2 linked regions of the Mytilus edulis genome follow. The protein of the gene in region 1 purifies or fractionates together with the protein of each later gene. This does not show direct contact. Links are inferred from orthologs where the notes say so. Each region holds a gene or a part of one and is shown on either strand. Other genes may lie near its edges. The genes, in order: ras-related protein Rab-5B-like and rabenosyn-5-like.

Region 1 (16,518 bases):
ATCTTTAATGACCTGACAACAGTATCGTATCTATATCGCTTCTTTAATAAGTCTATTTTAAGGTTTTTTTTAGCTTTTGAGGTGAATACTGACATTTTTGTGCTTAATAAAGAATATTTCCATAAAAATTGTATGTGAAATACCTGAACGTATAAGAAGTCTATTTGAATTGTACTTTTGTTGAAAGTAAAAAAAGAGGGACATAAGATACCAGAGGGACACATGGACAGTCAAACTCATAAATCGAAAATAAACTGACAACTCCGTGGCTAAAAATGAAAAAGACAAACAGACAAACAATAGTACACATGACACAACATAGAAAACTAAAGAATAAACAACACAAACCCCAACAAAACCTAGGGGTGATCTCAGGTGCTCCGGAAGGGTAAGCAGATCCTGATCCACATGTGGCATCCGTCGTGTTGCGTAAGATGCGTTTTAATTGTAAGAGGGACAGGTTACAATGGTGTTTTTGGAGCATATCCTTTGAATTTCGCATTGTCTGCTCTTAAAATCAGATTTTGATTGAAGTATTTCTTTTGCACAAGAATAAAGCAAAATCAGTTTGTACGTGACGCTGTGACGCCGTGACGCCGTGGTACAGTGGAATTGATGAAACTCGTCTTTTATACAGTTCCGTTGGCAGCTTATCGAAACATTTATTGGAATCAAGAGACAGTACTGTGAAAAAATAGTACTATGGTTTTTTAAAGTGGGAAAAATTTGTTAATAAACATTGTCTTGTATTATTTTAATTTTAGTTTCTTGTGTACAATTTGGAAATTAGTATGGCGTTCATTATCACTGGACTAGTATATATTTGTTTAGGGGCCAGCTGAAGGACGCCTCCGGGTGCGGGAATTTCTCGCTACATTGAAGACCGGTTGGTGACCCTCTGCTGTTGTTTTTTTATTTGGTCGGGTTGTTGTCTCTTTGACACATTCCCCATTTCCATTCTCAATTTTATTGCTTAATTTCAATGTCTGCCTCGCCTTTACAGATGTATTGCTTTGTATTTGTCTAATTTGTTAGATTCCGGATCTACTTACAGTACGGTATCGTCTGCTGTTTATTCGATTAAGTGGGCACATGAAATTTGTGGTCAAATTGACCCTTCAAATAATTCTTTTGTTGAAAGTTAAATTTATTAGTTAAAAGAATTACTAGACCGGTTGTTAATAAGAAAGATACAGTCACTACTGATAATTCGGTTATGTTCTATGTTTCAATTTTCTACAGATTTACTAGTAGTTGGGGATCTTTTGATGATTTTCCTGGGTTTCGGTGGGTTTTTTTAACGTTGTAATGAGTAAGTCAGCTAAGATGTAACGATTTTATTGTTAACGATGAGCATTTAGTTATCAAAATTATGCAGAGTAAGACATCAGTACAGTTAAGGTGATGAAATTTTAATGTGTAAAGGTCATAATTTGGCTTGTCCTTATGCTATGTTTTTTTTTTTTTAGATATGTCAGTTTAGCCGAAATATCTTTGGATACTGATATCTTTTTTTTTCGACCGTTATATAGAAGTATAAAAAAAGTGTTTTAATTAGTATTTACAAACATCAAGCATTCTATATTTGGGACTGTACATCAAGCATTCTATATTTGGGACTGTACATCAAGCATTCTATATTTGGGACTGTACATCAAGCATTCTATATTTGGGACTGTACATCAAGCATTCTATATTTGGGACTGTACATCAAGCAACCAACCACCAAGATTCAAAGTATGTGTTGCAAATGATTATGTTTAAGATATAAACACCTGACATTGACCACAACCCAATGCTTATAAATGCCGGACTACTTAATCAATAGTTATAACACTGAGAAACTAGTCAAGTAAAAACTGGCAAGATAAAACTTAAAGTATAATATTTGTGAAATACCTTCATCTAAAATTTTAAACTTTAATAATCATATTGATGAAAAATTAATAAAGAGCTCTCGCAAGTTACAACAATTTTTATTGTGATATTCTTTTTTATGCCTCCCCCTACCCCCGGGTCGTAAAAGAGGTGGTATTAAAATTCGAGTAGCGTCACTTTTACCATTTTAGAGGTATGATCCTTTAAAATTGAAAAAAAAATACTCCGTAGCGAAGGAGGCATTAAGTTTTACCCTTTTCCGTTCGTACGTCCCCAAATTGGTTTCCGTTCTCCAACTATAGTTATCCTCAACCAAATGTTCATTCGTCTCAACTCGGCCGATTCCGTACCCTCATATGAGAGTAGCGGATTCTACCGAGGATTGCCGAATGCCAAATGTTATGAATCTTATACACAAGGGTTATAACCACAAAACACCGATAAACTTTGAATTTTGGTGGTGTCACTTTTACTGTTCTAGAGTTATGCCCCTTTACAAATTAAAAAGTTGCTGGTTTTTCGTTCCGTTCTCTAGCTTAAGTTTGCCTCAACCAAATGTTATGAAACGTATACATAAAGCCTCTTACCACAGAACACAGATCAAGTTTGGATTTTGGTGGCATCACTTTTACTGTTCTAGAGTTATGCCCTTTAAAAATTGAACAATTGCTTATCTTTTCATTTATATATCTTACTTTAGTTTTACTCAACCAAATGTTATGAATTGTATACACAATGCTTATTACCACAAAACACAAATCAAGTTTGAATTTTTATTGGCGTCACTTATACCGTTCTAGAGTTATGCCCCTTAAGAAATGAGAAATATTGCTGGATTTTTTGTTTCCGTTCTTTAGCTTAAATTTCCCTCAACCAAATGGTATGTAATGTATATATGTGACAGCGATATTTTCCTCTTTGTTTTATTTCGTAACAATTCAAACTGCTATAACCAGTGTAATTTTTCTGATAAATGGTTGGTTTAAATTTTTTGAAATTTTTACATTTTTGTCAAAGGATCAAAGCAAATATTTTGTCATATTTTGTCAAAATATTATGAAAATTAAACGAACATTACAATCTCAAACAATAAACAAAATAAAAACTAAAAGTATGTATACCTGATTGCTGAAATATATTATTACATGTATTTGCAAGATCATAATATTTTACCTTTCACAACTTTTATTTAAATGTGGACTTCTGGAATGGAGGTTGGTAGAGACTGATTCAGTTGTGACATGTACAGTAAATAAACACTGATAAATAAGTCTGATAACAGTTTGAAGTTTTAATGTTTGTTGATCTTATTACTATTATTAGGTGAAGATATGTTCTTATTTCAAAAAGAGGGACACTCAGCATATGTATGAAATTAAGATGTGCATAAAGTGATAACTACTTGCTAGAAACTGAATGTTTTTACCACAACTTTGTATGTTTTAATTTGGATACGGACATATAATATAAAAAAAATAACATGTCTTTTCAGGACTTCTAATTAAATGGTGTCACAGTAGCCCTAATGTGAACAGTTTTTCTTTATAGGAAGAGATCAACATTCTGAACAATTCAAGAGCTGATCATGTCAGATTTTCTACATCTACCATGTATTACGTTTTTATCAACCAATTTTTCTCTTTTTTACACTTTGATATTCCAATCGTATATATATACATTACACACCACTAGCTGAAACCAAAGAGGTTACATTTTTACCTACACAATATATAATAAAGGGCTGCGCTTTAGCGCATGATACGCCCGTTGCTCTTTTAACTTGTCTTTTATGCTTTAAATGAATTTATATGATAAACTAGAAATATATATACAAATCAAAAGGGATGTTACATTAATATATTCACCAAAGTTTCATAAAATCCCCCTTTTTTAAGTATAAAAATTCATTACTTAAAATTTATAAAAATGGAAAGGGAGCTTATGTCAATAGATATAAACAATTTATCAAAGTTGCATAAAATTTTGTGAAAGTGTTAGTTATTGTCCCAAAATTGGAAAATCCCCCCTTTTTTAAGCATAAAAATTCATAACACGGAAATGTAAAATCTGAAATTTATAAAAATTGAAAGGGAGCTTACATCAATAGATATAAACAATTCACCAAAGTTTCATGGACATTGGTGAAAGCCTTTTTGAGTTATTGTCCGAAGTGTTGAAAATCTCCCTTTTTTTTTATGAATAAAGCCCCATAAATCCAAAACTTAAAATCTGAAATTTATAAAAATTGAAAGGGAGCTTACATCAATAGATATAAACAATTCACCAAAGTTTCATGGACATTGGTGAAAGTCTTTTTGAGTTATTGTCCGAAGTGTTGAAAATCCGCCTTTTTTTTATGAATAAAGCCCCATAAATCCAAAACTTAAAATCTGAAATTTATAAAAATTGAAAGGGAGCTTACATCAATAGATATAAACAATTCACCAAAGTTTCATGGACATTGGTGAAAGCCTTTTTGAGTTATTGTTCGAAGTGTTGAAAATCACCCTTTTTTTTATGAATAAAGCCCCATAAATCCAAAACTTAAAATGTGAAATTTATAAAAATTGAAAGGGAGCTTACATCAATAGATATAAACAATTCATCAAAGTTTCATGGACATTGGTGAAAGCCTTTTTGAGTTATTGTCCGAAGTGTTGAAAATCCCCCCTTTTTTATGAATAAAGCCCAATAAATCCAAAACTTAAAATCTGACATTAAAAAAAAAACGAAAGGGAGCTTACGTCAATAGATATAAACAATTCACTTGAGTTTCATGGAAATTGGTGAAAGTGTTTTTGAGTTATTGTCCGAAGTGTGGACGACGGACGGACAGACGCACGGACGGACGGACAGACAACGGTATACCATAATACGTCCCGTCTAAAAGACGACGGGCGTATAAAAAGGTATACATTTTTAAAATTTGAATGATTAGATATATATGAAAAGAGTAGGGTAACAGAACTCCAGCGACATCCCCTATAAATTAAGGGGGTCTCATTGGAGGGAGGGTCTGATCCCAGATCCCGATTACTGTTTTGTCAGATTCCCGTCCCCGCTTACACTATGTACGTAAGCAATTCTCAGTATTTTGTAATTTCCCGAGTTCCGCGCGCGCGCCGCTAGACTTCATTTCCCGTTTTCGCGGCAAAATAATTTGACTTGCACGTACGCACGTGTCATGCTTAATACTAAAAATCGAATTTTCTTTATTTGTGACTCCAAAAGCAGCCTAATCAGTGGCGGATCCAGAACTTTTCCTAAGGGGGCCCGCTGACTGACCCACAAAAGGGGGGGGGGGTGCTCCAGTCAGCCTTCAATGATTCTCTATATAATCAACCATATTTTTCCCACGAAACCCCCTGGGGCCGCCTATGGCCTTGAGATTTTCATGTGGACCACCAATATCACTGCTCTTTGACTTTGATTGGGGGGGGGGGGGGGGTAGGAGGGGTCCTGATCCCGAAATCCCGGGCATAAAACCAAGTAATCTCGAAATCCCGGGCCTCAACTTACGTAATCCCGAAATCCGAAAAACAGAATTCCTGGATCCCAAAAAGGGTCAATCCCTAAATATCGTGCTTAAAAACACCCGATCCCGGAGTCCCGATAAAGGTCCTGCCCCCTCAACTTTGTACTTGTTCGGCTTTAATTATAAATATATGAGCGTCACTGATCACAGGCAATCGTCTCAGAAAAAAAATTCTATAAATTAAGGTATAAAGGGGGAAAATTGTGAGACAAGTGCCTATATCACTGAATGATGCGCGTCTGGCGTACTAAATTACAATCCTGGTACAGGGGCGATCCAGCCATTTTAAAAACAGGGGCCCGGGTTCCCAACCTAGAGTAAGTGGAAGGGGGGTTCCAACTATATGCTCCCATTGATCGTCTGATAAATAAATAAATAAATAATCTTTATTTCAAGAGGATGATCCCATTAGTTAAAACTAATCTTCCTGAGAGTCCTCAAAATATAATAATAACATATTTATAAGTACATAGAGTATTATAAAGTTATATTATACACAATATACAATTGTATTTAAATAATAATGAAAAAGCATATTAATTTGCACAATTGATGAAAAATTTGTAACATTTTGTTTTAAAAGATGCAAGTGTATTACTCATTTTTATTTCATTTGGTAAACTGTTCCATATTTGAGAACCTGAATATGTAAATGTTTTCTTTAAAAAATTTGTTTTTTGGTTTTGGAAGATTTAATAGTTTTTCATCAGCTGAACGTAAGTTATAATTTTGATTATCAGTAAAATGAAAATTTTCTTGTAAATAGTTAGGAACCATACACTAGTAATTTTGGGGCCCTTTATAGCTTGTTGTTCGGTGTGAGCCAAGGCACCGTGTTGAAGGCCGTACTTTAACCTATAATGGTTTACTTTTTAAATTGTTATTTGTATGGAGAGTTGTCTCATTGGCACTCACACCACATCTTCCTATATCCATTTAATGATTTAAATACAAGTATTGCCTTTTGGTATTGAATGTGTTTTTCCACATTTAACCAGCGTAAACTATTAAACAATAAACTGGATGATGTCATTATGTCAGCTTCTACTATAACCCTAGCAGATTTCTTTAATAACTTATTAAGTTTATTTATTCCACTTTCACAACAGCTTCCCCATATATTGCAACAATAATCAAATAATGGCAGAATATAAGCATTAAAATAGATAATACGTATATGCATAGGTAAATATTTTCTTATCTTTTGTAATAAATTGATTCTGTTTGATATAGTACATGACATTTTATCTATCTGCTGATTCCAATTTAGTTTTTTGTCAATATATAAACCAAGAAGTTTTTCACAATCTACATTTTCTATTTGCTCATTTGAAATATTGATATCTAAACTGTTTCCAGTTGAACAAAGTCTTTGTTTTGAACCAACAATCATTGATTTACACTTTTTGGCATTTAAAATTTCATACAATTTTGCGAACACCAGTTTTCAATTACATGAATATCATTTTGAAGGTTAGAAGTTAACTGAAGTAAATTATTACCTTTACAATGTAATGTAGAATCATCTGCATATAAATCTATTAATGAATGTTCTATATTAAGTGGTAAATCATTGATATATAAAATAAATAACAGAGGGCCCAGGATAGAACCTTGTGGTACCCCAGTTTTTATGCATTTAGTATTAGACATGACGCTATTGACCTTAACTTGTTGGCTTCGTTCAAACAAGTATGACTTAAACCAGTCTAGTGTACAATTTGAAACATTATAATATTCAAGTTTTTTCAATAAAATTATATGATTTAAAATCAGATCAAAAATTTCTTTAAATCTAAAAATATAACTCCGTTTATCTCTCCATTATCTATATTTGCCAACCATTCATCTACTAATTTAGTAAGTGCAGTAGTACACGAATGTTTAGGTATGAAACCTGACTGTGTAGTATTAAGAAGGTCATTACTATTTAAAAATATATATACAAACTATTAGCTATATGTCGTTCTATGATTTTTGAGAGACAAGGCAAAACTGCTATTGGTCTATAATTATCATGATCCCTCCGTGGAACGGCCAACGATGGCATCCTTGACACAAATGTTCTAAATTTAAAACACTCGGTAAACCTCGTAATGGAAACAAATAGCAGAAGAAAACACGATTTCCTGTATGATGTCATAAATGCGGGGTCTAAATTTGATAAATCATGGTGTCCGTCATATGATGATATCACTACGCAAAATGTAACTTTGATTACAGTGATTTCACAATGGTTATAAACAAAACTCGTATATAAAATAAACGATTAAAGTCTAGAAATCCAAAATAAAAATCGACTCCAACAATTTTACCTTGTTTTTTATTAATTTGAAAACGATTTCAGTTTATTCGGACCATTTTCCGGTAAGCAGTGATTTGGCTACATCTCAAAGGAGGGTGTATCTACGTAGAAAGGGGGCATTACGTGAATTAATTAGACATTTTCGCCATCTGTACATTGACAGTCAAAGCCCTTATAGCTGATTTATTTTATTTTTGGTAAGAAAATGTCAAAGATGGTCCAAAATTAGTCCACGAAGCCCACAAATCATGACATTTTTATAAGCTAAATCGATAAATGTCAATGCCAAAAATAACCCGTCTTCCGTGTTTACATTTTTTGATCATGTGTTTTAGCCTCCAAAATATATCAAACAAACAACCGAGATCGCGTGAAACGATAAATTATACATAGACTTGCCATTGAATGCGTTTAACACTTCTTGCTGGCACCATCAACAAGCAGTTTTTATGTTGTATCACAACTGTTATATGTCTAATGACAAAAAATATCTTTGCAGTGATCTGTCCAATTTTAAAGAACTATAATTTAAAGATAAAAAATAGTTGGTGATTATCTATCATAGCGTCACAATATTTCCGCTCCACATGTTTTGCTGGAATGTTGTCTGATGCCATGAGTACAGTAACCGAAGAGCTAGTCCCAGATTACTCTGACGTCCAACGGCTGATTTGCCAGACAAGCTGGGGCTGTGGGACATCAGAGCTCGTCCCATATCAAAAAGTGGATATTTGCCCACCCCAAAATAGAGGCGCTGCTCCGTCGCTTCTGGTGCCAACTGGCTGCCTTGGAATTATATAAATCGGGCATTAAGGCCACACCAAATTAATTTCTTGTTCTACAGATTTTTGGACTCCAAAATTTGGGGCGAGCGAGCGATTTGAAAATTTTAATAAACAAATATTTAATTTGAAATTTTTTGAGGCGAAGCTTGAAAAGTTAAGGCGAGCGATTATATTTTTTTTTTGTAAACATAAAATAGTAGGTTTTGATAATATTAAAACTTGATTTATAACTTGTACTTTGACATTTTTTAATTTCTGAAGTATTTTTTCCCTGTTCACCAAGAAATAATTAAATCTGGTCTATGTATGTGTGACTGACAATGATACAATTCTCCATCCAAGTCATAATCAGTTTGGGGGCAACCTCTTAATTTTATAAATATCCCTTTTACATGTTTTATGATGGATCATATAAGTTATAATATATTTGTTTGTACAAAAGGGCTCATATTTTCTCAAAGAACTATATATCTATCTATAGCTAGTATTAAATGGTCAAAACATGGCCAAGAATTTTGTAATATTCCTGGACTTTAACCATGTTAAATTAACACATTTACTTAAACAGTTTAATATTATTCAAAATAAGTAAACCCCTCTTTTAGAAAAAGTTGTTTAAAATATGATGTAACTCTCCCCTTTTTGAGTACAAAATTCCAAATTTTCAAAGTTTTTGTATAGAAGAACTATACAAATCCTTGGTATTTCTATTTTCTTTTCTACATCAGTAAAATGACCCCTTGTCTGAGGGAGGGTTGTTCTCAACCTGACAATAACAAACACAGGTCAAAGTACGGCCTTTTACACAGGGCTTTGATACAGACCAAACAGCAAGCTATAAAGGATCCCAAAATTATTAGCGTACACAATTCGAACAGGAAAACCAACAATCTAATTTATATATTCAACGGGAAAATATCAATGAACAACATCAACAAACGATAATAACTGCTGAACGACAGGCCCCTGAATCAATCAGGACAGGTACATAAACATGCAGCGGCTATAGATAGTTTTGTTTTGCCAGCATACAATATAATTGCAGTTGAAGGCAAATCCTTCAGAAGTTCTTTGTACTTTATTCTAACAACGGAACATTTTGGATAGGGAATATAAGTAAGGGGAAAGAAACCAATGTTGATATCTTTTTATAATATTTTCAAAAAAACGGTGCGGGAAATAGACATGTTTACATATCCGGATGCGGGAAGCGGGAATATAAAAAAAATAAAAAAAATCTGTTTTGAAAATAATAGGTGCGGGCGGGTCCGTCGAACAAGGAATCAAATTGGTGTGGCCTAATCTGTTCATTTTTAACCGGATTTTTGTGTCAAAAATGTCGGTTATTGATTTGGGGATGTACGGCGGGCGGGCGAGCGGCAACCAAATGTTTTCCTTGCATATACTCATGAAGCGTTCAACCAAACCTTTTAAAATTTTAATATGTTGTTACTGACAACAAAATGGAGGTCAAGTTTAATAATGACGATTTTGAATTTTACCGTTCAGGAGTTACGGTTCTTGAAAGTTTAAAAAATGTTGTGTCCGTGCATTTACTCATGAACCGTTCAACCAAACCTTTTAAAATTTTAATGTGTTGTTACTGACAACATAAAGGAGGTCAAGTTCAATAATGACAATTTTTACTTTTACTGTTCAGGAGTTACGTTACGGTTCTTGAAAGTTTAAAAAATGTTGTGTCCGTGCATTTACTCATGAACCAGTCAACCAAACCTTTTAAAATTTTAATATGTTGTTACTGACAACAAAATGGAGGTCAAGTTCAATAATGACGATTTTGACTTTTACCATTCAGGAGTTACAGTTATTGAAAGTTTAAAAAATGTTGTGTCCATGCATTTACTCATGAACCGTTCAACCAAACCTTTTAAAATTTCCCATTAGGAGTTTTGGTCCTTGTAATATTGATAAATGCCAGAACACAAATAAATGTTAAAGAAACCGGTTTACTGTCATTTTGACAGCTCTTGTTCATTTATCTCTTCGTTTATGTAAGTTTCACCTACCTGCCAATCTATATTTTCTCATATTTAGACAGATTTCACAGTGAACAGTCAGAGCTCAGACATAAATAAGTCTGAATCTGCTTTTGACTTATAGATGTCTAAATTTGTAAGTTTTAAGATTTGTCTCCCTTTAATGCAAGACAAAATACGACTTAAATAAGTCAAATATTGTTAAGCAAGAAATGATTGACCAGAATCAAAAAGTTGCAAATATCAACTCCTACAAGTCGATAAGTTACCAAAATTGGTCAACTTCAAGACCCACGCATACTTATAAAAAGGTCATGCATCTAAATCAAATAATGACAACATTGAAAGCCAATGCCTTGTCTTCTAAAGAAAAATATGAATGAGAGTCTGAAAAATCAGGGATCATGTTAATTAACCTTACAATGCAACCACCTGGATCCACACTTAATGAGGTAAAACATCTGTGTTTAGTAAGGATGTTCAATTAGATAATTAAATATAAATAGATCAAGTCCTTGTGAACTCTCAGACAGGTTTTTACTGTCAAAGGTGGTGTAGTTTGGCCACCAAGTCAAGTTAAGTTTTTTCATCAACATAAATAGACCTAAACAAGTCTGTCATTTTGTGACTTAGATAAGTCTAAAATTGAAAACACATTTTTATAAAGAATACATGTTTTGACTTCTTTAAGTCAAAAACAGAAATAGACTTGTTTATGTCTGAGCTCTGACTGGTGAAAAGTAAAATCACAAAAATACTGAACTTCGAGGAAGATCAATTGGGAAAGTCCATAATCACATGGCAAAATCAAATAACAAAACGCATCAAAAACGAATGGACAAAAACTGTCATATTCCTGACTTGGTACAGGCATTTTCAAATGTAGAAAATGGTGGATTAAACCTGGTTCTATAGCGCTAACCCTCTCACTTTAATGACAGTCTCATCAATTTCCGATATTTTTACATTGATGCGTTAAATAAACAGACACAATGAATATAATAGTCAAAATATGGGTACATCAGTCATCATCGTTTAACAATTTTAAAAGGAACAATTTAACAGAACACAAAAACATCTATCTACGAACACAGTTATTGATTTGAGTGTCTGACGTCAGAAAATTTTATACGTCACATAAATTTGTCGTTCAATGTGCGTACAAACAATTTTAAAAATTTTCATGGGAATGTTAGCATACAGGGTTAAAAAATCAAAAGTATGTAAGAATAAATTTAAGAAATAGACCGAGATTTAAACTAGTCCAAAAGTTATATATAGAATTTATAAGAATCCAAAAATAGTTAATTCCACTACGCGATTGAATGATTTTGACGTTTGTGGTTCAACGTATATTGTAATTCATAATAGAAATATATCATAATGACATATAATAGAACAATATCATACTGACAGGATCTTTTAAAGTACAGAGTCACGTTATAAGAACGAAGAAATACAAAAAGTCGCAAATACAAAACAAACCACAAAAAAATGAAAGCCAATACAAACACATTGACGAGATGTATAAGTACCGAGCCACGTGAAACGGATATCACATGAAACCATTCAACAGTAAAAGTAATATTAATAATAGAACAAAGACAAATGAAAGAACTATAAAACACGTTGTTAAGATGATAAACAACATCAGTACGAAGAATCTATACATCAAGACCATCGTGTATTATTTGAGAAGTTGATACGGAATATTTACATGTATCAACAAGGTCTTGGTACCTTCCGATGAACTTTTTTAGAAAAAGAACGAGACGTTCTTTGACATACCCCTGTTTCATCAACTTTCTACTCAGACACTGATGACATATTACAAAGTCTGAGTAGGAGCTGCAAGCTCTTGAATATCGAATAAGTTGGGAAATATATATCCCATATGCAGGTGAAGTTGGTATATTGCTACTAAGGTGGGGGAAATTTATGATTTCAAAATTAAAATCGTCTCGTTTGTCATAGATTCTGGTACTGAGATGACTGTGTAAGTCAAATTCGAGACATTTGATTCAGACATTTTTCTTTTATTTTCAAATGGACTTCATTCAAGTTATGTGGGATTTTGCGACCTCGAGACTCAAATATGCAAAATAATAATTCTTTTATCACCTCCTTTATTCAATTCAATTCAATATTTTATTGGAAAGAGCACAATAGAGGCTTGATCCAAATACATAAATTATAATATATTAAAACAACATATAAATGAAATAAAGATGCATGTAACAACAAGTCATAAGACAATTCTATGTATGTCATTACATTATAAACTGATATTGATACCATAAACTTATACATCAGTATTATTCTAGATTTTCATAAATTTACTTAAAACCTTTATGGGAGATCGATATTTAACATATAGTAACCAACCACGATTTTCACCTCCTTTACAGGAGACTGGTATTAAGCATTTAGTGCCAACCATGTTAACAATTGGAAGCTCTCGGACATTAAGATTACTTGCATTGTAAATGAACGAGGTGTTAGAATATGGTCATTTGCATAAATCATCACTTGTTTTCTCGTGGTCACATGATAATCTTTGAAAAGGTCACATGATAATCTTTGAAAAGGTCACATGATAATCTTTGAAAATGAAAGTCAAAATGCAGAAATCGATGGGTCTCTGTGAAAACTGTTAAAATAAGGGAAAATAAAGGTTGGCAGGTACATGTAGGTGAAACTTACATAAATGAAGAGATAAATGAAAAATGAACAGATTAATGCCCGATATTTATTATTCCAAGGCCGCCAGTCGGCACCAGAAGCAGGGTTGGCAAAAACCCGGGTTTTATGAGTATTGCCCAGCCCAGTGGGAAATACTGGGAAAACCCGGGTTTTACTGGGTTTTTGTGGGTAATACTGGGCAATATCGGGTAATATAAAATACTGGTCTGAATTTTATAGAGGATTCAGTGATCAAACACAAATTTTATACATTTAAGATATATATATAACCTTTTTTGTTTGTCTGTATTGGTAAAAACTGTAAATCATAAAGCAAAAAACTTTTTTTTAAATAAATATAACTCCTATTAAGAATTAACAATTACATGTAAGAAAAAGTACATTTAAATAATGTATATGTACTGTCACTAATTAGTAAGTAATTATTCAGATTAGAATGCAGATTTGTTTATGTAACAATAATCAGCCCTTTCAATTCTATAAGTATTAATAGCATGACCCCTTAGGGTGTTTATTTAGCAATATCACAAAGGTATGAATGTAAAACATTTGAAATTAACAATTCACTTAAACATTGCAATAATTTTTTTTTCAAAGTATGGATTATTGAAACAATGCTTGGTAATTAACAAGGTTTCCTTAAATGTGCAAATCTTGTATTCTGTCTACATAGAAGGGAATGAAATTGAATTTTTCATTCTTTTAGAAATGACTGTCAATGGTTATCAGTATAAAAAGTATATATTTAGCTGTTATACTATAAAATTACACCAAGACTTTACTATTTTATGTTAAAATAAGCTTAAAAAATCATATTGCCCAGTAATGCCCAGTATTCCCCATTTCTGGGAGTATTGCCCAGCCCGGGAAAACCCCGGTTTTCCCACCCAGGAATTCCTGGGCGGGTAATACTTTGCCAACCCTGACCAGAAGTGACGAAGCAGCACATCTATTTTGGGTGGGCAAATATCCACTTTTTGATATGGGAGGAGCTCTGACGTCCCATGGCCCCAGCTTGTCTTGCAAAACAGCCAAAGTAATCTTGGACTATGGGAGAGCATGATTCTACATACAAAATCATCTTTGTCTCAAACATACCTTTGTGTTACAAGGCAGTGCATTAAGTAACTGCTGACTAAGTATCTACCACATTTGTTAAGAGATGCAATCCTGTCACACATGAAAGACATGATGGGCATGAGTAAACTTTAATAGGCCGTTTCAGAATCTAAAGCACTATGGGTAATTTCATTGTTCGTACCCCAAAATGAAAATAACGTCACGTCATTGGCTGCATTTTAATTGTTTGGGACGTTTTAAACCAATCACCACGCTTTGGTGTACACTTTTGAAAATATTACCCAGAATGCATTAGATTCTGAAACGGCGAATTATTTACAATGTTTTACTGATGTTGTCAATGTTTCATGCCTTTCTCCGCGTTCCCCTTAAATTTTCAAAATTTAATATGCAATAGTGACTATATCATTATAAAGTTGGGATTCACATGATCATGATGATCTACGCAGGCTGTTATTCTCATCATTCACAATAGGTGATGATCGCTTTGCATGGCAATCAATATCATCCATAATCAGCCAAACCTTTTTTGTAAGTCCACACGTCATTGTTATTCCTTCTCTTCCTTTGAAGTGCTTACTGATTTGTGTAAATTATTTAGCAACAAGTAGATTTAACCGTGTATAAAATAAAGAGATGTGGTAGGATTGCTATTTTAACATGTTTAAAGGCAATACTCTACTAAAGACCAAAAGTCATACATGTAAATGTGAGCAACTATAGGTCTCATTATCATAATGGTATGCCTTTCAACATGAAAAAGAAAATATCATACTGGCACTGCATAGCAAGCTGCATAATAAAAAGTTCAAACATGTCAAAATAGTAAACAATACAAATCCCTGACCTTGGCCAGAGGTGAAACAGTACAACACCATGAACACGAGAGCAAATTGCGCACTATGCGAAAAACAAATGCGAAAATTAGCAATAAATGGAAACCACTCAATTACTATGTAACTTGGGATTGTGATGTTACATATTCCCCAAAACATATATATGATATAAGCAAACTACTTAAGAGATAACTGTATTGTATTTTAAGCTCCGACGGCATCAATTGGGGATTTGATGGTCGCAAATTAAGTTTACTGGCGACGCTCCCCAATTGATGCCGTCGGAGCTTAGAATACAATATTGTTATCTCCATTCTAATGAAACTGACAGAAAACAATGTTAAAACATGTATAAATTAAAATCTGTCATATGCCGTCTGCGCTTGCGCATACGTCCCATAGCATCAATTGTCAAAGAAAAGTGACATTATCCAATCAAAATGAACATTACAAACGTTGTTGCATTAGAATTAGAATTAGAAATATTCATCAATAAAAGTTTGTTCCAACAACAATAAGTTAATGTAAATGCTGAATATTTGATGGACTTTATATATAATTAACAGTCGTTTTATCATTTTAGTTAGATAGGCGTTACATACAACGATTACAAGACATACTGAGGGAACAGCCATAGGATGGCAAACCGTCCTGGTGCCCAAAGACCAAATGGGCAAGCACAAGGCAAAATATGTCAGTTTAAACTAGTACTTCTAGGAGAATCTGCTGTAGGCAAGTCTAGCTTGGTTCTACGATTTGTAAAAGGACAATTTCATGAATACCAGGAGAGTACAATTGGAGGTGAGTGTTTGTTTATTATAGCTTTCTGTTTAAATTAAACCCTGGGGAAATTTTATAAGAACAATGAAGAATGCAAGGTAAAATTTAATTAAATGTATATAGTTCTTATTATAAACAGATCAAAATAGATATAAGAAGATGTTGTATGAGTGCAAATGAGACAACTCTATTCAAGTATTTAAAAAAGAAGATGTGGTATGATTGCCGATGAGACAACTATCCACAAAAGACCAAAAAGACACAGACATTAACAACTATAGGTCTACGAACGGCCTTCAACAATGAGTAAAGCCCATACCGCATAGTCAGCAATTTGTAATTTGTAAAAAAGTTCGCTCCTAATGTTTTTGAATTTTTGCAAGATGTTCGGAGTCCTCTGGTTTTATCCATGTAGTACCATTCAAAATTGGAGGTAAGCCTTTGTATATTATAGCTTTCTGTCTAAATTAAACCCCAGAAATAAGAATGGGACGTAGAATTTATATACTATCTAATAAAATTGAGACATGGGGAATATGTCAAAGAGACAAGAACCCGACCATAAAGCAGACAACAATAGAAGGTCACCAATAGGTCTTCAATGCAGCAAGAAACTCCC
Region 2 (16,528 bases), on another chromosome or scaffold:
AATACTCAGCGAATGTGAAGTAAAATCAAAATTTTCGGTGTTTAAAACTTAATTGTTGTAAATTTAACTTATGACAAAAACAATTGCTCCAAGAATAATATCCAACATAAAATCTCCGGGATAAAATATCTCCCTTTCATTTAGCTGTACAACTATGAAAGATTGAAAACACATTTCGATTTTCAATGCCGGCAACAACCTTGTCTAAAATGTTTTAATTTCCAAAATGAGTAATTTAGAAATCTTACTAAATGTAGTTTTCAACGAGAAAATTATTTCTAAATTAATTTTTGAATTAAAAACTTTTTGTATTTTATATTTACTGTCTGGTTTATTCAAAACACGTGAGGTAGTAATAACAAGGATTGTATTTTATGGTAGATGTATAACGTTGAGGAATCAAAAATTCATATATTATACCTATAATTTTAATTTCCTTAAAGTTAAATCTGAAATAGTCAGAAATAATGAATTCACAAACTAGATGGAATAACTTCTATACGTTCGTCTTAGTCGGGAAAAATAATGGTATAAAGAAGTCCATGCTTTTGTATGTCCATCTGTCAACAGTCGCGAATGAGTTTGTTACGGCATACTTCTGAAATTGACGCGGAAAAAAAGACACATCTAGTCTGATATAGTCAAATACTCAGTAAGTTAGCCAGTGCCATCTTTCATTTCTTTTTTTATTTTCAATAATTTTGCTAATGATGGACAGAGGACAAAAACAGACTTTCCTAACAAAAGCGGCGTAAAAGGTTATTTCAAACAATTTTCCAATCAGACGGATGGTGTTTCTGAAGGTTAATATGTTGTGCAGCAACAACATCCTGATACATGCATTTAATCTATTGTATTACCGTATAGTAAAGTAGGTGAATATAGTTGTTATTCGTGCGGGTTTCAAACGTCCAATTTGCGATTTTTTTCAAATAGTGCGCCAGCAAGGAAAGTTTGTACTATGACGTCAGATGCAATGTTTCGAAGAAAGACAACTCTTTTCTTCAAAACGAACGAGAAAAAAAACATGAAAATTGCTCCTAACTTTTTTGAAAGGTCAGTGACATACACTTTTTTTTGCTTTATTTTGAAGAGTACACATGGCACTTTCCTTCTTGAAATTTTTATGAAGAAATCACTGGTAGATTTTTTTTTAATACTGTAAACGTTTTTCATTTTTACGTTTTATTTTTGGCGGGAATGAAATAAATAATGTTTTTAAAGATCAAAACAATACAAGTCAAACTCTTGAACCTGTATTTGATAGATACAAATCTACGTTTTAACGTGAAATAAGAATTATGCTTGTATGCTTGATATAAAGGATTTTTTGAGAGTTTAGATAACAAGTAAATATTATGTTAATATTCGGGAAAACACGAAACTGAGGTTGCTATAGTGACAAAACTAAGTCGATGACCCCCAATTTTTTTCATCATATTTTGTTCCTCAAATCATGAAATACCTTCACACAAAATTGCAAGGGAAAATCACTGGTAGAAATGAATCGGCTGTTTGGTCTTTAAGTGGATCGCCCCCCATTTTAGAAATTATCCGAGATATTGCTGATATTAGCCTTTAGTTTAAGTTTATAAAAATCTTGCAAGAATTGTACCTTTAAAAGGGCTAACGAGGCCATTTTCCATAAATTTAATATTGACAGTACTAATTAATACTATTTTGGTTTTGTGCAAGAACAAAGCATTTCTATTGTGTACAGTATTTACTAACTTTTTCGTTGTACTTTAATTGCCAGATTGGTTGTTAGATAAGTGTCACAATACATTTGTTAAACAACAAACGATCTTGGTTACTGATCCATTAATATTTGGCCATGCAAAGAGTCTGATCTAAAAAGGTATATTTAACCAGACATGGGTAAATGGCCATTTTATTTTATCTGGTACAGATTATGCATATCAATGGATTGCTTTTAATTGTTTACAATTTTGCACTGAACATGCAGTTACTATCTGTTAGAGATCAAAAGGTAAAAAAACATTTTGAATTTAACATTTATAATTCAAATAAAAGAGGAGAGCTAAAATCTTGAAGTAGACGGCAACAAATAAATCACTGCATTTCACTTGCTATACAGTTAACGTTGCAGTATGAATAAATCACTTCAAACTCATCAACTGGTAAAATAGTCTAGCTCCTTGATAGTATAAGGTTTTAGTTCCTAATAAATCACTTCAAACTCATCAACTGGTAAAATAGTCTAGCTCCTTGATAGTATAAGGTTTTAGTTCCTAATAAATCACTTCAAACTCATCAACTGGTAAAATAGTCTAGCTCCTTGATAGTATAAGGTTTTAGTTCCTAATAAATCACTTCAAACTCATCAACTGGTAAAATAGTCTAGCTCCTTGATAGTATAAGGTTTTAGTTCCTGTATTTGGAATTTACAGAGTAAAACAATAATTCTTGCATTCCAATACGGACTGATTTCGCAGTTAGTATCGTGTAGTATTGAACTCTCTATCTTAAATTAGTTCAACTTATTAGATACAGGAACTTCCATTATTAAAACAGTTTAAATGTCACAAGTTCTAAATATTGGTGAAAAAGTTATTAAACTTCTATGATTTCTAATCAGAAAACTGAAATTTATAAATAATATGAGTAAAATGTTTCATCAAATTGGTTAAAAGCATTAATTTTAATGGATTATAAATATAGTTGAGTATGTAATGAAAATTATCTCCCTTTTAGTTTTATATCAATTTTTCATAACTTATAATCTGATTTTTGTTATTTTAATTTAAAACAAATAATTAATTTATAAGAATAAAAGAAGTCCAGAATTGGTATTATCATAAAGTTTTGAAAATTCAGTCTGCACTATTAGCCACAAGTACAATGCCCCATTCATGTAAATTATTCTATTCCAAATATTTGTTTAGACACACAAGATAATTGTTGGAATTTTGGTCTTCAGACTAGTAGTTGGCATAGATTTTGGTGCAGGCTGTTAATTAGTGTTTACTAGTGTTCTTGATATAGACTCCATGTTTAGGGTCCACCTAGCGAGGTAAATAGACTTTTTTTGTAAGACTTACTTTATAATGACAATCATTCACTACCTGTTGGGCTAAATCTTTTCAAATGAAGAGATGATTTCAAACTGCAATTTGGGTCGACATTACTTTTTTGTTATATTTAAGAACAAAGCATTTCTAATGTACAGATTATTTGACAACTTTTTTGTTTAACTTTATTTGCCAGATTGGTTGTTAGATAAGTGTCACAATACATTTGTTATAATAACAAACGATCTTGGTTACTGATCCATTAATATATGGCCATGTAAAGAGTCTGATAAAAAAAGGTATATTTAACCAGACATGGGTAAATGGCCAATTTAGTTCTTTAATTAACAATCCTTAATAAGCGTGCTCACATATCCTACATCCCAACATTATTACTGGACAAAACACAATCTCACCAGATTCCTAAGTTTAAAGACTTAAAACTTCTATAAAAGTCAACTGATAAAAAAATTCTTATGGATGTGCAGCTTAGCATATTATGTCCTCAATATAACTACTAAGTTTCATAAAATTATGTTGTGTGGTTTAGATTGAATCCTAGTTTCATGTTGATATGTATATCTACATACTTTGCCCTACATAGTAAATCTACAAACAATTTAAAATTTTAAAATCTGTATTGTGGTTTCAAAGAAGTCGCAATGACAAACTGCTGAAGAAGTATATTTAGGCCAAAATTCAATGTTCAAATAGGCATAACTTCTAGCATTCTAGAATAAAGGTTGAATCATAATGTCATGTCAATACGCGAAATATACATAGTATGTCCTTTATATCATCAGCAAAGTTTCATACAGAATTTTTACAGATGGGTAAAAACATTATACCCTAGTACAGAACTTTGTTCTGTGTGAGATACATATATAATCATAACTTACTCCTTTAAGTGAAGGATATCTGTATCTTTTTGGTTTGTGAAGGCCATTTCTGTGCTGTTTTCGATCTGAAATTAAACAAAAGGAAAACATAGGATAAAAGTTTCCAGTAAGTCTTTTTTTTTTACAAGCCATCTTATTTTAACAGAAGTAAAACAAGTATTTTGTGTTATATAATAACTTATGGGGTCATTGATGGAGCAGGAACTTAACCTTTCAGTAGCATAGCATAATTAATTTATGCCAAAGGTCAACTTTGCCTTTCAAGTTTTAGAAAAAAAAAAGAATATGGGGTTTTGGTTTGAATTGTTTTCCAATTAGCAATGATGAAGGGCCTTTTAATTAAGAAGATGAATATGAATTATGTGGAAAGCTTTTCAAATATCTGACTACCTACTCTGATTATGAGCCGTATGATTCTTGGACTTTGCCATTCTGTTCTTTTTGCTTTAGTATTTCAGCCTGTAAAACACAAAACAATGTTATTGATAAAATATACTAATGTTTAAATTGAGGGAGAAAATGCACAATCAAAACATTGTTGGTGCTTTGATCAGATAATCCAGCCAGATGGAAAGAGGCACCTTTTCTGTCAATTCTTATGTTGTTAAAATTACATAAATCAGGGCTTTCCCTTATAATTGAAGTAGTAGGCTAAATTACAATTATAGGTGGCTGTAACCTGCATTCTCGCTATCTCCTGGCACCTAATTTCATCTTTTAAGGTTCATCATAACCTTTTGGCTAAAATGGCCGTATTTACACCCCAAATTTTACTCTGAGTACAGACTAACCTGTACACCTGCAACAGTTTTAAGGGATGGCAGGAACTAGATATATAAATTTTAAATGCATTTTATGTTTCAGAAAATTATAAACTTTTCTAGATTTTACTATCCATTTTTTTTCGTTCCTGCAGAAGGTGCAAAAATTAACTAAGTAGTGAAAACGATTGAGAAGCTCCCCTCATATATTCAATGTTGTGAGTAGTATTGATTTAAATGGACAATAGATGGACAATAGACACCTGTAAACAATAGGTGATTTAACAGGTTTAAACTGTGTAACTGAGTGGACCGTATCAAATGAAACTCGGGTGTTTGTTTATTTTGCTATCTTCTGCAGACTGGAAAAAAATGAACATCAAAATCCAGGTAAGTTTTTTATTTTCTGAAACGTAGACTTCATATAACTTTTATATATCTAGTTCCTGCCATGCCTTAAAACTTTCCTGGATGTACCAGTTTGTCTGTATTCATAGTAATTTTGGAGGTGTAAACACGGCCATATTTTTCAATTCCTTATGATGAACCTTAAATGACCATTTTTTATCTATGAAATTAAAGGAAAAAAAATCTGAAAGAAATATCTTTTTTTTTTATGTAACGGTTTGTTTTTTATTTTCTTTATCTTATGCTTAAAATCTATTTGGTTTTAAAGGAGTTTTATATATATAATAATCCAATTTGTTAGAAATCTTGATCGATTTATTTTGCTTAATTACGCGAATTTATAAACAAATGACCCCCCTTATTTTTCTCGTCGTTAAAAACTTCCATTTGTTGTATTTGAATTCATGTGAACTAAATTTAGCCCAAGGTAAACACGACTTTTCATCCTTGTTTATCGTGACCATGACTATGTGACAATCGGCTGCCTTTAAACATTTGAAAAAGATATTTTTTTCTTTTTGAATTTATATTTTTTTCAGTGAAGTAGTCGGCACTTGAAGCCACTGTACAGACGTCTACCGGCTACTTTGGAAAGCCCTGATCAGGGTTTCCCCTGGGTCAATTATTTTTTTCGCCACCTCTTTCGCCAAAACAATATATTTTTCGCCACTTTATTTTTTTCGCCAAGTAACATTAATATATTTTTCCTGATGTGCCCTTTTGTAGTAAGAAGTAATTTTTACAACAAAACAAAAGCTTTTATCCCATGAAATTGATCCCTCATTTCTTGTGTAGTCATTACATTGAAGGGTTACTCTCATTCGAGGGGTTGTTCCCAGCATTTTGGATAGATTTTTTCATAACGACAGTTTTCTTTTCTTGACCATCGTAAATGAAAAAGTTGAGATGTACAACTATGCTTGAAACACGTGCATGTGTCACTCAAACGACTTTATTAAAGTCAAAGGATAAAAGAATTAGAGTTTTGAATCAGAGATTTTTCTTGCTTTTGAACAATTTTCGTCACAACAACAGCTTTCTTTTCAAAACTATCTTTAAAGGGAGAGATGTCAAAAGTTTGCTTCAAACACGTGCGTCGCAAAGATGTAAATATATTCTGTATGTGACATTTATAGCGGAAGCCATTTGACCATATCATTTTGTGAAACAATTCAATCAACACCTTTATTAATTAGTCCTTTGTTGTCGATAGCTATAAAATGCAATCAGCTGATTATTGATTTTCTGTCTAAATCTTAATGAGGTCAAGGTGAATTCCGAGTATTGTCTGATCGGGTAAAGTCCGAGAAACTGGAAAAAAAAAAGTAAATAAACAAGATGGAGGAAAATAAATCAGTTTATATATTTCTTTCGCCAAATTCTTTCGCAAATAACGAATTTTTATCGCCACAATTATTATTTTTTCGCAAATTGCGAAAATGGCGACCGCCAGCGGAAACCCTGCCTGATAAATATAACCTTGGTATACCAATTACCCATGATTTCAAAATGGTTTCCCAAGATACATCACTTCTGGCTGTGGCGTGTACAAAAAAAAAATGTATATGCAAAATATCAAATTTGGTAAAATTTAATTGACCCAAATATCCGGAACATTTGATTAATATTATCCTATATTCAGTTCTGCAAAATTTTACAGAGTTTGGTATTTTATACTCGCCCAATTGATGTACTGTACAAAACGTATCTTGGAAATCATTTTGAATATGACCCCAACTCTAATCTAGGTATCTTATTTTATCATATTTTGGGGATATTCTGGAATTATTTTGCACCAATATGCACAAAAATTTGTAACCCTGTGTCTCGCCTACTTTTGCTGTTAATCACAGGCTCAACAAAAATGAGGAAACTTGTATGATTTATCCCTGACATGACCGGCTACGTACCTGTTCGCCCTGATTTTAATTTTTTTCTCATTGTTGTTCAGTTGCATAATGTTTATTATTTGAACAGAATATGTTAAGGTTCATGTGGACATATTTTAAGCATATCATGCCCTAGGTAAATATATTTCTAATATGTTTTATGTTTTAAAAAAATAAAAATTTAACAGAATTTGCCGTACACTTTTTTTCATTCCTTCAGAAAGTGCTAAAATAAGCTAAGATAGAAAAGAGGTTTGAGAACATCCCCACGGGTAATAATTGAAGTGAGCTGTATTAATTGACATGGACAATAGATACATTTTTGTAGACAATAGATACCTGACAATAATTGAGGATTAAACTGTGAACCTGGGTGGACCATATCAAACGAAACTCAACTATTAGTTAATTTTATCATCTTCTGCAGGGACGAAAAAAAGTGCACTGCAAAATCCAGTTAGGTTTTTAATTTTCTAAATCATACAATGCATTTGAATTTAAGGTTCATCTACCTTCATGACGAAAAAACAGTGAAAATTGTTGCCAAATAATGTTAACGGAAATTTTTAAACAATAAAAAAATTGATTGATTTTGACGAATCACGTTAAATTTATCTCAAAAATTACATTATTATAAAGGATAATAATAATACGAGACCTCTGACAAATCACGATAAAATTAAGGATCAAGGTAAAATTTTAAACAATTTGAAGCCAACGGTAGCTGAAAATGACCATTTGACGCCCGACTGTAAAGGGCATTACTACATTGTACCTGCCTCATGTATGTCACTGAACAAGCTTTCTTTTGTGTTGTCAGAAATTCAAGGAATATATACCATATAAATATCTAAATAAGTTTATTAAAATTTGTATGCCCTTTATATTGATATTTCTTTTAACTTTATAAAGGTAGGTTGAACGAACCCAGGGCGAACAGACCCTAGACCGGCCAACTATCAACTATTACCCCCTGACAATTGTCGGAGGTAAAAAAAAAATGGAAAAACATCTTCAACAAACGTCAATATATACGTACTGTACGAGATCTAACGTATTTCATTGACAAACTCATCGACTCTTCTACAAGAAAAATCAAAATAACAAAACAGTCAACACGGTGAAATATAACTGATAAATATCACCTTTGATACATATAAATATTTTCTTAACTACGAAAGGTTTGAAAGACCTATATTGGTTTTGCCTTAAAAAGTAGTAAATTCATAAAACACTTCAATTTAAAAGATAGATGGACACAGATTATTATAAACATAAAGTATTTACACTACAGGCAGTCAGAAAGTGAAACCGGAAAAGGAAGTGAGGGAGAATTTATTATTGTTCCGAACGGTCCAATTGTCGATTTGTTCTCCTGTAGTGTTATTAATTTTTGTTAAATGTTGCCTTTTGCGTGGAATGTCATAAAACTACTTTTGCTAATAAACAGAACATAAGTTCTACCAGTATTTTTTTTATTTATGATCCCATCGTTCTATGGATCTCATTCGGATCTCCTCTGGACTGTCATTGATGGGCAGATGTCAAAACTGCAGAAATGTTGATTGTTTTCTGCAACTGAAGAAGAAATGCTTCAATATAGAAAAAACTAAGTAATGGGTATTATAGTTATACAATCGATACAAATTTGTAATTCTGCTGAGTCAAAACCAGTAACCAATTTCAAAGGATTTGTATAGATAATAGAGTATAGTATATATGTCTTCTTCTGTTTTGTGATTGATCCTTGATTTTTTCCAACAGATACTGAATCCTAAAGGTTTCATGGTGTTCCATCCCCAAGTTGATCAGATACAATTTGTTTGGGCCACAGTCTAGTCCAAATAATTATGACGTCTTGAAAGGCTTTTTAATCATGTTAATTTTTTCACTTTGACGCCTTCTGGGAGGGGGGATAGGACCTTTATCGGGACCACGGGATCGGGTGTTTTTAAGCTCGGGATTTCGGGATTTACCCCTTCGGGATTCGGGAATACTTTTTTTTTTAAATTACGGGATCCAGGATTTAACTTTATTTAAATTCGGGACCTCGGGATTTCATGTTTTTAAGCCCGGGATTTCGGGATCAGGACCCCTCCTACCCCCCTCTTCTGGGGCAGCTATATATATATACTGTGGAAGCAAAAAAAATAAAATCGCCTTTCAAGACATCATAATCATTTGGACTAGGCCAGTGATGATGTTGATCTGTCACAAATCAATCTAGCCCATATTAATGATATTTAAAGTTGATGCATGCCGTATTCATGGCAGCTACAGTATATGAACAGATAAAAAATGTTTTTATCCAATTCAATATTCAATATTTATTTTTTGGAAAGAGCACAATAGAGGCGTATCCAAATACAGACAATAATAATAATTTAAAGGCTAATAAAACACAATGCTTCTTCTGTGGTTGCAAAAATCAAGATAATAAACAAGAGCTTAATAAAAAGACGTATTTACACTTGTATGCAAGTTTGTCCACCATTACGTAAAATCACACAGGTTCCCGTAAACTTTGACATCATAATTTAAATTATTTGACGTCACATTTTAAAAGTGATTGTTGCTTGACGTCAAAAGGTGATTCGGAGTAGATCTAAGGTCATTTGGAGGCAAGATTCAGCTAAATACCAAAAGTGTAAATACGCTTATACCTTCCCATGAGGTGCAACTTGTGCAAAGGCCTCCTGGTCCGAGTACACAGTTATCGTCCTTTGATTTTCGTTGTCCACGAATATAGTCCTTAGTGTGGACAGTGTGTTACTTGCCAATTTTTGTTATACCCCTTCCAAATTTATTTCTCCATGTTTTATGCCTCATATTGCAAGTTGGGGGTTGAAATGACACTGTAAAAAAAATTGGATCATAAATATTAATGTAAAGTAGTGATTAGGTCTAGCTGAAAAAGGTCAAAAATTAGCACTTCGGAAGCTGTCAAAAGATTTCAAGACCCCCTTAACATAAAATTGTCCATATTTTGAGTTAGAGCTGATGAAGTTTTCTATAATTTTGATATAATTTGTCCCAAAAGTAGTACAACACACTGTAAAAATATTATTGAGAAAGCGCAGGTGGGATTTTTTTAATTTTCATTTATTGTCTAAAAGAAATGCACTACGAAATAACTGTGTACTCGGACCTAAGAGGTGAAATCAGGAAATATAGAATCTGTACTTTGGCAACTTCCCTGAATGATTTGATGGTGTCAATTTGTCAAATAGCATAAAACTAAAGGATTTAAACTTTTATTTGATAGAATTTCTGCAAAAATGACCAATTTTGGCATTATATGGTCAAAATAAGCATTTCATAGCTTTTTCAATGTTGATGCATAAGTGGCATTTTGACTTTCTATCTGACATGTTTTCATGTGTCAATTTTTGTGTTTCTATGCTTTAATCCAGTTTTAGTACTCATTTGTGAACTCTGAATCTACAGAGAATAAGATTATCTCAGACAATATGAGCAAAATGTGTTGTATAAATGACCCTCGTCTAACGCCCTGTTTGGATCAAGTTAAATGTGAGGAGCATGGCACATAAAAGTTGAAGTCCATAATAAAGCCCTCACTAAATTTGTATAAAAAGCACTTAACAATGTCTTTTGTACCTGTTTCATTTCACATAATATCTTTCTTTACTTCTGTAGGATAGCATGTGGTTCAAATATAAGCCTGTTGAGACTAAAATTGCATGCAAGTTTTTCACTAAAAAGTGAAAAATCATTGTATCAGACCATACTGTCTGGTAAAAAAGTTGAATGTAAGAGCCTTTTTGTGCTCAGATTTATTGTATCATGTCACCTGAGTATAGAAATGATAGAAAAGACACAAATTTTTATTTCCTATAGCTTCAATATGCATTTTTAAATGTAAATATGTGCTACGGCCTAAATTGACCCTAAATTATTTTTAGTCTTACTTGGCCTAAGACCCTTTTAAACTAATATGATATGTTATTTGTAAGTTTTCTTTCCATTTAAAGTACATTAAATACATATGTAAGGATTATTTATAATCAAAAAGCTTCACAAATTTAAAATTGCTGGAAAATATTACATCTTTATGTAAGGCCCCCCTTCATTGGAAAACCTCCATTTTTAGGCACAGGCTCATATAAATTTGACTTTTGAATAATTATGCTAAGTCTGATATATCAAATGAGTACTCTATTGCTTTAAATACATGATATATTATATATTAAGGCATTTTAAAAGTATTTTTTTGCAATATTTAAATTTTAAAAGCCCCAAATGTTGATAGTTGAAATTTCTCAATTTTAACGTCTAAATTTAACACGCAAAGTTGAATATAAAATTAATCATATTGTCTATAATATATATCCTATTGCTATGAAACTTTGTAAGCAGTCTTATAATATATTAAGCTTTAGTCATACCAAGTTTTATTAAGATTGGTCAACTTTTTCTATCCTATTAGGTCCGAGTACACAGTTATCGTCCTTTGATTTTCGTTGTCCACGAATATAGTCCTTAGTGTGGACAGTGTGTTACTTGCCAATTTTTGTTATACCCCTTCCAAATTTATTTCTCCATGTTTTATGCCTCATATTGCAAGTTGGGGGTTGAAATGACACTGTAAAAAAAATTGGATCATAAATATTAATGTAAAGTAGTGATTAGGTCTAGCTGAAAAAGGTCAAAAATTAGCACTTCGGAAGCTGTCAAAAGATTTCAAGACCCCCTTAACATAAAATTGTCCATATTTTGAGTTAGAGCTGATGAAGTTTTCTATAATTTTGATATAATTTGTCCCAAAAGTAGTACAACACACTGTAAAAATATTATTGAGAAAGCGCAGGTGGGATTTTTTTAATTTTCATTTATTGTCTAAAAGAAATGCACTACGAAATAACTGTGTACTCGGACCTCCTGAATCATCTTCATGGATTTAATCACATCTTTCCAGGATTACTACATTATGTAAATGTATATATAGAATATAGAAACCTAAAAAAGAATTTATATGAAACTTAATAGAATATCACACACATGTGACTTTGTTCACCATTATATCAATATCAAAAGTGATTACCAGAATAAAGAACAAAAGAAATAAAGTACAAAACATAATGATCAATAGAAATAAAGTAGCGTGTGATCCAATGAACCATGAAAAGAAATCCTTTGAAGAAAAATATAGGGAAACCGAAGTTACGGTTACCAGTAAAAATCATCATCTGTCAAATTCCAAATGTCTAATATAAGTTAATAAAATGAACTTAAGAATGCTGAATTTATTCGTTCATTGTGCGTTTATTTGTGTCACTTCGTTTTTGGATTGAGTTAAGTCATTCCAATTGATATTTTATACTGTGTCTTTCTATGTTGTGATGGTATACTGCTGTTTTAGAAAAGGGAGAAAGTTTGGTACCATTAAAACGTTTAATCCCACTGCAATTGTTTGCACCTGTTCTAAGTCAGGAATCTGATGTTCAGTGGTTGTTGTCTGTTTATGTGGTTCATAAGTGTTTCTCATTTCACGTTTTTTATATAGATTAGTAAGTTGGTTTTCCTGTTTGAATGGTTTTACACTAGTCAATTTTAGGGCCCATTATAGCTTGTTGTTCGGTATGAGTCTAGTCTCTGTGTTGAAGACTGTACCTTCACCTATAATGTTTTACTTTTATAAATTTTAATTGTGACTTGGATGGAGAGTTGTCTCATTGGCAGTTATACCACATCTTCCTATATATCTAATAAAGAAAATAAATAATCAATTAATTACAATCTGTAATTAATATGTCCATACTGTTAATTATCAATATAAGTCATATATACAAAACATATAATATACAAAATAAAAAACTATAGACTAAAATAGAAATATACACAATTACTATTAAAACCTATGAAATACAGTCTACCACACCAGCATTCTTTTATATTTTAATTTCATGACAATGTCTGATTAATATGTAAATTTGTACCATGTTTAACCCCACCTCATTTTTGTCCAAAGTCAGGAGCCTCTGACCTAGGTAAGTCTTGTAGGATATTTAATTTTAGTTCATTTATCATTTTATATGTTTTGGAGTTAAGTATGACTTTATTATCACTGAAATAGTACACATTTTTGTTTAGGGGCCAGCTGAAACACGCCTCCGGGTGCTGGATTTTTTTAACTGTTTTGAAGACCCATTGATGGCCTTTGGCTCTTTTCTAATCTTTGGTCCAGTTGTTGTCTCCCCGTTTCCATTCTAAATTTTATTGTACGAATGTAGTTACACTAGATCACTTTTGATTCCAGTTACTGCTGATGTCATCAAGTTCAGTATTTTGTTTCCATGTATCTCAATGAAATATACATAAGTGTATACGTAGTCTTTCAAAATTTGAACTAATTAAAGATTTTAAAAATTAAACAAGAAGTGAGACAGTAAAACTGAATGTCCATCAATTTTGATGCCCCACCTAGGATAGTAGTGGGGCATTATGTTTTCTGGTCTGTGTGTCCATCCGTCTGTTTGTTCCTCTGTCCCTCTTCATGTTAAAGTTTTTGGTCAAGGTAGTTTTTGATGAAGTTAAAGTCCATTCATCTTGAAACTTAGTACACATGTTCCCTATGATATGATCTTTCTATTATTTGGGGCATCCGTGTACTGGGGACACATTCTTGTTTTAAAAAATTTGAATTCAAGAATAAGGTACTTTGTCATGTTAGTCATGTTAGTACTGCCATGTGCATATCTATATTTATATAAGTATTGACAGAACAATGAAAACGTATAGATATATATAGGAAGATGTGGTATGAGTGCCAATGAGACAACTCTCTGTCCAAGTCACAATTTATAAAAGTAAGCAATTATAGGTCAAGGTACAACACTGAGCCTAGGCTCACAATGCACATTTATCTCTAAAAAAATAATGAAAAGAGTTTTCAAATTGTTCTGATTATTCTTCAATCATTACTACTCATTAGTTGGTTGTGTACATATATGATGATTGATGAAATGTCTACCAATTCCTGTTCCTAAACTTGTCAAGTTAAAATAATTAAGTTATACTAAAACATATACATGTGTATCATGTGTATGGTTATAAATCATAGCCTTACAGGGTTTGTTCCTTCATCGACCTTCTCCTTGTTATGTTGGGGCCTTGGTGGCCTAGTGGTCTAAGTACTTCTACTGAAATCACTAGCCAGTTGTGAGTTTCGAACCCCGCTCGTGCAGTTGCACTCAGCTCCAATCTTAATTGACTAGGATTGTCAGTTTTCCTATCGAAGGTTGGTGGTTTTCTCCAAGCACTCCAATCTTAATTGACTAGGATTGTCAGTTTTCCTATCTCAGGTTGTGGTTTTCTCCAGGCAAATAAACCTTGTAATACTGGTATGCCAAAATGAAGGTATTGATAGATTGTAGGACTATGAATGTACATAAACTAATTTATAAACCAAAAAAATCAATATTTGTACTGGTAAAAACAAGATCTAATTAAAGTGTTCAATTGATAACCTTATAGAATAAATTTATTTAATAGATCGATAAATTTACCTAAATCGTATCTAAATTTATGGGCTTGGTTAACTACATCACTGCAAAAATTTGGTGGTGCTATCCTCTTTGTAAATATTTTGTTAGTTTTCTACAGGTACATGTTCAGCCAAATTTACAAACTTAATCTTTGTAGCTATCAAAGCTACATGTATGAAAGAATTGGGTAAATGTTTTCAGTGATTTGTGGTAACAAAATCCTTGAATCTTGAATTGAAACCCTTCTACCCTTGATATTTTACAGCATTTTTAAAGTTGAAACTTGAGCCACTTTCCCCCATAGTTCAAGCATGGCAACTTCGAGTGAGGTAAGAGAGGGCTTCTTATGCCCAATGTGTATGAAGGATCTAGGAACAGTATCCATGTTACAAGATCATTTTGAGGAAGAACATTCAAATGAAGACAAAGACGTGCTGCAGCAGTTGAGAGGTACTTAGATAAATGATGAGGTGTAACTTATTATTACTACATTTATATGACAAGAGCTTTATAATATATGAGACGGGAGCTAGATCGAGGTGGCATCAATGTGACAAAAACCAAACAACAATAATGTTTGTGTATCATGAATTCTGACTTGGCTGTCAGATGAACAATATTTGGACTATGAATAGTATCTCTTAATAATATTATGCAAATAGACGGGTGATAAGAAAAAAAGATTTGAAAAACATTGATAAACAAAATTTGAAACTTCTTACTGAGTCCCTTTGACTTTGCCCCCAGGTCATGTAAATCCCGCATATTCTCATATGATTTTCAATAAAACAATTGATACACTAAGAATGCTAGGTTGTGAACAAGCTTTTAGTTTTAGGAAATTGTTGTTTTGTGACAAAATATGAGATAACTAAAAAACCATTTAGGATGAAGTATTGGTGTGTTTGATCTTTAACAGTTGAGTGTGATGTATGCTTTAATTACTTTCCTTTCAGTAATGTGTATTTTTGCATCAATAACCCAAGTTCCTACTTTTTGTGCTTGAAAATTGAGGTTTGTTTGTTTTAGGATTATTTGGTAAAGCTAAGAAGAAGATATTAGGAGAGAAAGAGAACCATGATTATGTAGATCAATCTGATTCTGTTACTGACACCTATTCTGCTAACTTGACTAAAACTGGCTATGATTCTTCACTATGGGATCCTCAGGAAATAGGTTTGGAAAATTGAAGAATAGTGGCTTTTGTTTCAGACATATTTTATATAAAAATAAGGAGATGTGGTTTGATTTCCAGTGAGACAACTATCCAGCAAAGCTCAAATAAAGTGGATGTAATAAAATTTAGAATGGAAGCAGTTATAAGCAACCATACAGCCTTCAACAATAAGAAAAACCCATAAAGGCATATAGATGGCTCTAGCCTTAAAAAAAAAGGCCCATACATGGAAAAATATGAAGCAATTCAATTGAGAAAACTAAACCCCTAGTTTATAACAAAACCATTTATTAAAAATAAATATGACAGACATGAATTAAGGACAACCATTGTAAAATTGGGATTTGGGACATTAACTTTACTACCAGTAACTAAACCTGACTATAGCATGTATAGTACACTTTGAAAGCTGCAAAATGTTTTCATCTATATCTATTAAAAAGATGGAAGAACCTAAGTTTTTATTTTGTACATGTATACCAGCATTACAATAAAGCTCAAAATGAAATTCTAAGCCAGAACTATTAAAACCTTGTTATTACATTAAAATATGAATGAATTGATTTGAGCTTTCACACAGAGTATACTAAGTGAATATTAATATTTTGTAGGTATGATTAGAAGTCATACTGATGTATTCAAAGCTACAAGGGGAGCTAGAGTAGACAGATTTGTTGTTGAGACAAACAAACTAATTATTCGACTGGATAAATTAACAGGAAGTAATTCACCTACTGACACAGGGAAAAGGAAAGGTAAGTCATCCACCTACTGACACGGGGAAAAGGAAAGGTGAGTAATTCACCTACTGACACGGGGAAAAGGAAAGGTGAGAAATTCACCTACTGACACTGGGA

Evidence for each region.
Region 2: the proteins of ras-related protein Rab-5B-like (region 1) and rabenosyn-5-like purify together in Drosophila melanogaster (affinity purification with western blotting; 3 studies listed by BioGRID, with this or other methods). This does not show direct contact. The link is inferred for Mytilus edulis from reciprocal best matches to the Drosophila melanogaster genes Rab5 and Rbsn-5.

Annotation. Positions count from the first base shown.
Region 1 is NC_092357.1:59,731,069-59,747,586, forward strand, and holds the start of ras-related protein Rab-5B-like, read left to right. Parts: upstream 1-7,764; 5' UTR 7,765-7,915; intron 7,916-15,702; 5' UTR 15,703-15,757; coding exon 15,758-15,920; intron 15,921-16,518.
Region 2 is NC_092344.1:107,276-123,803, forward strand, and holds the start of rabenosyn-5-like, read left to right. Parts: upstream 1-8,493; 5' UTR 8,494-8,602; intron 8,603-14,759; 5' UTR 14,760-14,805; coding exon 14,806-14,944; intron 14,945-15,523; coding exon 15,524-15,670; intron 15,671-16,282; coding exon 16,283-16,426; intron 16,427-16,528.